Linked DNA regions of Drosophila melanogaster. The protein of the gene in region 1 purifies or fractionates together with the protein of each later gene. This does not show direct contact. Each region holds a gene or a part of one and is shown in the gene's direction. Other genes may lie near its edges. The genes, in order: Prosbeta4R2 and Prosbeta7.

The links.
Region 2: the proteins of Prosbeta4R2 (region 1) and Prosbeta7 purify together in Drosophila melanogaster (affinity purification with mass spectrometry, with the first as the bait; one large-scale study listed by BioGRID). This does not show direct contact.

What each region holds. Positions count from the first base shown.
Region 1 is NT_033779.5:2,653,457-2,657,859, forward strand, and holds Prosbeta4R2 (proteasome beta4 subunit-related 2), read left to right. Parts: upstream 1-1,937; 5' UTR 1,938-2,003; coding exon 2,004-2,100; intron 2,101-2,162; coding exon 2,163-2,698; 3' UTR 2,699-3,646; downstream 3,647-4,403. Other genes in the region: Prosbeta4R1 (proteasome beta4 subunit-related 1), read left to right, coding at 1-389; Or23a (odorant receptor 23a), read left to right, coding at 687-1,402, 1,454-1,877.
Region 2 is NT_033777.3:5,356,402-5,360,323, reverse strand, and holds Prosbeta7 (proteasome beta7 subunit), read left to right. Parts: upstream 1-1,959; 5' UTR 1,960-2,248; coding exon 2,249-2,400; intron 2,401-2,467; coding exon 2,468-2,969; intron 2,970-3,040; coding exon 3,041-3,193; 3' UTR 3,194-3,312; downstream 3,313-3,922. Other genes in the region: Cerk (ceramide kinase), read left to right, coding at 1-345, 774-976, 1,037-1,166; CG1161 (uncharacterized protein), read right to left, coding at 3,744-3,899. UniProt on the Drosophila melanogaster protein: Non-catalytic component of the proteasome, a multicatalytic proteinase complex which is characterized by its ability to cleave peptides with Arg, Phe, Tyr, Leu, and Glu adjacent to the leaving group at neutral or slightly basic pH.

The sequences.
Region 1 (4,403 bases):
ATTTGTCCGCCTATTTGAAGAGCGATTGCACGTTCCAGGTGTCGCTGTTGGTGGGCGGATACGATTTGACCAGCGGTCCCGAGTTGCACTACATCGATTATTTGGGTAACTCGGTTCCCGTTCGGTACGGTGGCCACGGAGCCGCCATGAACTTCTGCACTCCCATTCTCGAGGAGTTCTACAAACCGGACATGGATACGCAGGCAGCCTATGATGTTATCAAAAAGTGTGTGATTGAGCTGTATAAACGATTCGTTATCAACTTGCGCAACATAGATTTGTTCCTGATAAGCAAAAATGGCATAACAAAGATGAATAGCATCAACCTGGAGTCCCTTAGAGGGGATATCTTAGCTGGTCCCAAGCGAAGGATATTAAACACAAAATAATAATCGAAGCCCTTTATATTTTTTGTAGCTTATCAAAGATTCATAAAATTTGAATGAAAATAATTTAATATAAAGCTCTGTATTAAGTGATATATAGATACTCCTTTGCTGAATGGCACTCAAAGGGTGTGCATTTTCCCAAGTTTTGGGAAAATTATATGCGACCCCTCGATAATGATTTAATTTGCGATTTAATAACCCCTGACTAATGGCGCAACTGACACAGAAAGGTGATATAAATGGTCGAGGTCCTTTTGAAAGTATGCCAGTGAAAAAGAAAGACACCAAGAATTCAAAATGAAGCTCAGCGAAACCCTAAAAATCGACTATTTTCGAGTCCAGTTGAATGCCTGGCGAATTTGTGGTGCCTTGGATCTCAGCGAGGGTAGGTACTGGAGTTGGTCGATGCTATTGTGCATCTTGGTGTACCTGCCGACACCCATGCTACTGAGAGGAGTATACAGTTTCGAAGATCCGGTGGAAAATAATTTCAGCTTGAGCCTGACGGTCACTTCGCTGTCCAATCTCATGAAGTTCTGCATGTACGTGGCCCAACTAACAAAGATGGTCGAGGTCCAGAGTCTTATTGGTCAGCTGGATGCCCGGGTTTCTGGCGAGAGCCAGTCTGAGCGTCATAGAAATATGACCGAGCACCTGCTAAGGATGTCCAAGCTGTTCCAGATCACCTACGCTGTAGTCTTCATCATTGCTGCAGTTCCCTTCGTTTTCGAAACTGAGCTAAGCTTACCCATGCCCATGTGGTTTCCCTTCGACTGGAAGAACTCGATGGTGGCCTACATCGGAGCTCTGGTTTTCCAGGAGATTGGCTATGTCTTTCAAATTATGCAATGCTTTGCAGCTGACTCGTTTCCCCCGCTCGTACTGTACCTGATCTCCGAGCAATGTCAATTGCTGATCCTGAGAATCTCTGAAATCGGATATGGTTACAAGACTCTGGAGGAGAACGAACAGGATCTGGTCAACTGCATCAGGGATCAAAACGCGCTGTATAGGTAATCCTACTATCTCTATGTTTCCAGTTCTAATACTCAATCTTCCTTTAGATTACTCGATGTGACCAAGAGTCTCGTTTCGTATCCCATGATGGTGCAGTTTATGGTTATTGGCATCAACATCGCCATCACCCTATTTGTCCTGATATTTTACGTGGAGACCTTGTACGATCGCATCTATTATCTTTGCTTTCTCTTGGGCATCACCGTGCAGACATATCCATTGTGCTACTATGGAACCATGGTGCAGGAGAGTTTTGCTGAGCTTCACTATGCGGTATTCTGCAGCAACTGGGTGGATCAAAGTGCCAGCTATCGTGGGCACATGCTCATCCTGGCGGAGCGCACTAAGCGGATGCAGCTTCTCCTCGCCGGCAACCTGGTGCCCATCCACCTGAGCACCTACGTGGCCTGTTGGAAGGGAGCCTACTCCTTCTTCACCCTGATGGCCGATCGAGATGGCCTGGGTTCTTAGTAGCCCAGTCATTTCACTCACATTCTACATCAAGTAGTACTACCACTGAACACGAACACGAATATTTCAAAAGTAAACACATAATATTCACAATAGTGTATCACTTTAATAAAATTTTTGGTTACCATGGCGATGGAAACTATTTTGGGGATCAAGGGACCAGACTTTGTGATGCTAGCATCAGATACAATGCAGGCCAAATCGCTGGTCTTCATGAAAGATGGTAATCACGCCCTTTTTGTTTATCTGATATTGGGAACTTATATAATGCCAATAAATTTTTAGACCAATCAAAAATCCACCGACTATCAGACTTCAATATGATGGCCACGGTGGGTGATGGTGGCGATACCATTCAGTTCACCGACTTCATATCCAAAAATTTGCATCTGTACAAGATTTCCCACGGATACCATCTAAGTGCGAAGTCAGCTGCCCATTTTACCAGGAAAACACTGGCGGATTATATAAGGACCAACACCAGATACCAGGTGGCAATGCTCCTGGCAGGATACGATGCGGTTGAGGGACCTGACCTCCACTACATCGACTCCTATGGCGCTGCTCAGTCAATCAATCATGCAGGTCATGGTTGGGGCAGCATGTTCTGTGGCAGCATTCTGCAGAGATATTGGAACTCGAAGCTCAGCCAAGAGGATGCCTACTCGCTGATGAAGAAGTGCGTCCTGGAGATCCAAAGGCGACTGATCATCAACCAGCGGAACTTTGAGGTGTATGTAGTGGACAGCAAGGGAATGCGCAAGATGGAGGCCATCAATCCAGGATCCCTAAACAAGGAGTCGATAAGCCTGAGTTGGTAAAGCGGAAAACATTAAAGCCATGCTCGGTGCAACTCCTTTGCTTCATAAAGCATCCTTTAATGCCTAATAATTGTGCAGTTGGTTTTTGGCTAACTTTCACTGCGATGCTCGAACAACTTCCCAGGGATTAGTTGACGTGACCGGTTGGATTTGAGTGGTCAGTCGGAAGAGGAGGAGGTGGGTGAGTGGGTATGCTACATGCCATGGTCGACTGCCTCCGTGTATTAGCATATGTGGCCTGCTCTTGTTCTCCATGTGAGCCATCTGTCTGAATGTGTGTGGCACTGTATTTGTTTGTGCAACAATGAGTGAAGCTGCACTCAAAAAGAATTTATACATTAATAAGTCTGCTCTGTTGCATAGGCATAGTCATATAGGCACATTCCACTCAAATGGTCCCGTCTGCCGGCAAAAGATCGTCAGATGTTGGTATGAAATATTTTTTTTAAAACGTATGCATCTTGATTTTTCCAAGTGCATGCCTCACAGACAGGAAACGCATACGGCTGCGAATCGGAAGCAGAAAAGCCAACATGTCTCTATTTCCCATTTGAACAGCAGTCCGTCAGAATGTCGTTGGTTTGGAGGAGTGAGCGTAGTCGCCAGCGAAACTCATAAAAATGAGCACAGATTGCTGCAAAAATGCACTGAATTGTTCGCTGCTTGGCAGAGGTCTGAGTGTGAGGGTTTTCCGAGCTGTGATGCCTGCATTTTTCCGGATTTCTATGCTAGTCAGCGGGTTTTGTTTGTCCGCCAGCGTGGCAGTTGCCATTGCTAATTGGCCGCACATGACAAAGTATCGCCAATTGAGTGGATCGCCCACTTGCGGTGATCGGAACCATGAAATGTCAACAGTGACAAAGAAAAGGTAGCGAACGCGTTTACCTCAAAGGTACCGGTTTCGGTGCAGTAACTAACTGGCTCCGAAATGTATCTAAACTACAATTTAAATTACTCGCTGCTTTAATGGAGAATCAATTTCGAAAAGTAAATACCATCCATATACTTTAAATGTTTGTTTTAATTACATTTTTTTGGAACAGCACTTATCAAGCTTAGCACGTAAAACGAATGCCATTACAAATTAATTAGCATTTATGCATGGGACAAAAAAAAAACATTTATCTATCTCGTCATGCAATATAATTTTATGCGAAAACTAATGTAAAAAAGTCGAATATCAATTATTTTCATGGCTTGCTTCTCATTTTACTTTAAGTTTCCCTGTCGCACAGAGAACTTTTCCGCAGAAAACTTTTGACATGTGAGCGTCTCAAATGAACGCGCCTGTCTCAGGACACCTGTCTCCCTTTTTTCCACCTGAAGCTGTGAAATATATTCACAATGCTGTAGGGGAGCAACTTTGGGGGCTGGTTGATAATGTGCATGTAACCCCGAGTCACTCCCCCATTGTCGACCCCCCCCCACCAATCCACCACCGTTCCGACCGGCAATTTGTGACGTTTAAGGGCGCAACGAGGCAGCGACTTCCTGACAGGACATTAACTTTCTCGCATCTTCGCAGTCGTGGCTCCATCCGACTGTCTCGCTGCTTTCTGTTTGCTGTTTGCGTGTGACGACTCTGATGATGATTCATGATGATGATCCTTGCAGTTTTCTTCTTCCCTGTCATTTTTCATGGCCTCGGGGGCAGTGGCTTGGGTTAGTTGCCTTTTTCGACAGCCTATTAGTTTTTATTATTTGC
Region 2 (3,922 bases), on another chromosome or scaffold:
AAAGAGGCAGAGCGCAATCAGCAGGTAGAAACAGAGGACTCTCATCTAGCCGCCAGTGAAGCAGCACTCCTGAGGCCTCGTCCGCGTCCAGGCAATCTTCGATTGCCCACTGGCTCCATTTCATCAATGAGGAACCTCGGCAACGATCAGTGGAAGGTTGTGCGGGGCAATTTCTTTATGATCTGCGGCGCGAACATAACCTGCGCCTGCGCCAGGAGTCCCAATGGCATCTCCCGTTACAGTCATCTGGGTGATGGTTGCCTGGACCTGATTCTCGTGAAAAAGACCTCACTGCTCAACAACGTGCGTTTTCTGCTCAACACGGCGGGCAGAAGTGGTGATATTGTGAGTACTAACTATTACAACTATTCAACTTTCACATCCAAAAGAACACCTTTCCTATAAGAGGCGTCCATTTCCTTTGAAATAACATTTCCATAACATTTTAACTGCATCTTTAATTGCCAAATCCCCTAAGCCTACAAGCTGAGCTTAGTGCTTTCTATCCTAAAAGCCAAAAACCCAAAACCGAACCCCATCTAGCTCGGATTGAAGCGAGGGAAATCTGTGACAGAAAGGTTATTTTACGAAGATCTACTAGCCGCTCTGGTGGCATCCATATAAAGTATATACTTGACCAGTTTCAACAATATAATGTTTTATCTAGTGAATGCGATGGTATCTTTTACTGTAAAAATATAAATGAAAAATAAAAGGATACAATTAAATTTTGTAGAAAACAATAAATATTTAAAAACATTTTCCCATTGCAGCGCAATTTGCCTTTTGTAGAGGTATATCGCACAAGGGAATTCCGGTTCAGAACTTTTTCTGCCAGCGAGGAGGACTACAGCTTGGCAGGGTCTTGTCAGCCGATTACACCGCCTGAAGAAATGACCGCCCACTCCTCCTCGACGGAGTTTTCCAGCTGGAACTGTGATGGAGAGGTGGTGACCGACCTGGACATAACCATGCGGTGAGTTGGTTGTACCTTTAACTTCAATAAATCGCTTATTAACCGTTCCGTATCTGGCAGATCGCATTGTCAGCTCATCGAGGTCTTCATGCGGGGTCCCCATTCCTACAGCAAGCCCCTCAAGGGCGGCACCACGCCCACAACCCCAGCTAGCTCTAGCGACAATGTTTACTGCTGCTGCAAGGACTAGAAGCTTTAACCCCATAGAATTAGCATCAATCGTTGGCCGTGACATGTAGCTCTTAGTTTTGCGTAGGGTATCCTTATTCGTATATGTATCGTGTTAAAGAGCGGGTCTCCCCGTCATTGTTTTTAGCATAGCTCAATAAAGCAACTGATATTATCGACTGTATTATGGCATCTGAAAGATGCGGCAGCAACCTAAACATTCCCCTCGGAAGCATTATGCACATACCTATATATTTACAAATTGTGTACTGGTATACTGGCAATAAAAATGTATTTATATGTCTTCAAATTTATAATTCTTTATTATTAATTTATATGATCAAATGTTATGATAAAAAACTTCGTTGGGTTCCCAAAAACAACAATCCGGAACATGTGCGTTTTTCCCACCAATATGAATAAAAGCAGAAGTTTTAGCAAAAGAACCTTATTCCGCTTAAAAAGCTATGGAGAATCGTGTTCGAAGGGAGAGAAGGGAGATATTGGATTTGTAGATTGACCAGGATAATTTCCAAACGTCATTTACATTTATTGCTCTCGATTCTTATACTTTAATGACCATTGAACGGCTTAAAATGAAGTAAAGCAAATGGTCATTATATATTAACTAAACATATATTTAGTTTCAAGGAGTAGTAAATACCGTAGAAGCAACGGGTATACATGAGTCTTAATCCTAATTGAGTGAAAAGTTCTTTAATTTCTTATCTTTCTTCTCCTTGATTTGTATTATCAACGAGGATTATAAAGACAAAAGTAAAAAAACAAATTCAGTATAGGCAGCGTGGTGTTAACTGTTTTACATTACTTTTAACATCAACATCTAATAAAATGTTAAAAAGTTCACAATTAAACTTCAAATTAATTTAATTTAACACATGTAAAACGGTGTGACCAAGCTAATAGTGGATTCATCTTTGGTATGTCTGGTATTTTTAGCTACCGGTTGCCGATACTGGTATTGCCGCCCGCCTAAAGTCTGTTCACACTGCGCTGACTCTTGATTTTATTTGTGCCCGTCATTCTCCGGCAGCGACAAACATTTCAAAGTCTCGCGTTATTCCAGTCTCCGAATAAATTAGCATGTTGAACAACTACAACAGCCTAGCGCAGCCCATGTGGCAGAACGGACCCGCTCCCGGCGAGTTCTACAACTTCACGGGCGGACAGACGCCGGTCCAGCAGCTACCGCGGGAGCTGACCACAATGGGACCCTATGGAACCAAGCACAGCACGTAGGAACTGCGGATATGTTTATATGCAGATGTACCACTTGTTTACACTCCTTTTACTATTCCGCAGTGCTTCCAGCACCACGGGCACTTCCGTGCTTGGCATTCGCTATGATTCAGGAGTGATGCTGGCCGCCGACACCCTGGTGTCTTACGGATCCATGGCCCGCTACCAAAACATTGAGCGCGTCTTTAAGGTCAACAAGAACATCCTGCTCGGCGGGAGCGGCGACTTCGCTGACATCCAGTCCATCAAGCGCAACATCGACCAGAAGATGATCGAGGACCAGTGCTGCGACGACAACATCGAGATGAAGCCCAAGTCCTTGGCCAGTTGGATGACCCGTGTGCTCTACAACCGTCGTTCGCGGATGAACCCCCTCTACATTGACGTGGTTGTCGGCGGCGTGGACAACGAGGGGACTCCGTACCTGGCCAACGTGGATCTCCGTGGACGATCCTACGAGGACTACGTGGTGGCCACTGGTTTTGCCCGCCATTTGGCCGTTCCGCTGGTCCGTGAGAAGAAGCCCAAGGACAGGGACTTTACCGCCGTAGAAGCTTCCGAACTGGTAAGGAATTTCGAACTCTGATGGGGGGACTCTTCATTATTTAACTACCCTACCATTTTCTTATATTCTAGATCCGCACATGCATGGAGGTGCTTTACTACCGCGATACTCGTAATATTTCCCAATACACTGTGGGCGTGTGCAGCGTCAACGGATGCGGCGTGGAGGGGCCCTTCCAAGTTAACGAAAACTGGACATTCGCCGAAACCATAAAGGGATACTAGAGCCTCCGATTCTGAATGAACTTAGTTTAGGTCTAGCTCGGCGGTTTTGCATTAAAAAAAAACACTTGTCTAAGGATATGTGGTTACATGATTTATTAAAAATAAATGTGGCTGAAAATAATACGTTTAAAGTTATGGTTATTGTGTGATAGAAACTATCTTCGAGTTATTCTTTCGTTAATCTCTACTGATGGAATCAAAAAGTAGGCGTCAAACTAAGAAGCCCAAGGGAGTTTCCAAATCTAACTTGGACTCACCATTACGGTCTTACGTTCCTTATTTTCCCAAATTATAACCATCAATTATCATTAAAAGTTTTATTTTAGTGGATTTGTTGGTTATTCCTCCCGGCATTCAACTTATTAATTAATATGCAAACACTCCTGACAAACATATTTTGGTTTATTTTAATTAACATAAAATCTGGCTAAATATACAGATAATCAATTTGATCCAAAGGGGAATTTCGCAAAGGATAACTGCTTGGAATACGTGTCTTAAGTCGCCCATGCGCCTCCTAATCTCCGCCAGCTGCAAACCGAACCCCTTGTTAGTTTAGCATGGTATGCCTGTCGTAGATGTGGCGTCTCTGCTCGCGCACCTGCCGCTTCCACTTGTCCTGCTGGTGGCCCACACGATTGAGGACATTGGCTCTGGCACTGAGCTCCTGGTTGTTGACGGCTGGCAGGGGCGGCGTTGGTTCATCCTGGTTAGAAAAGGGTGGAAAAA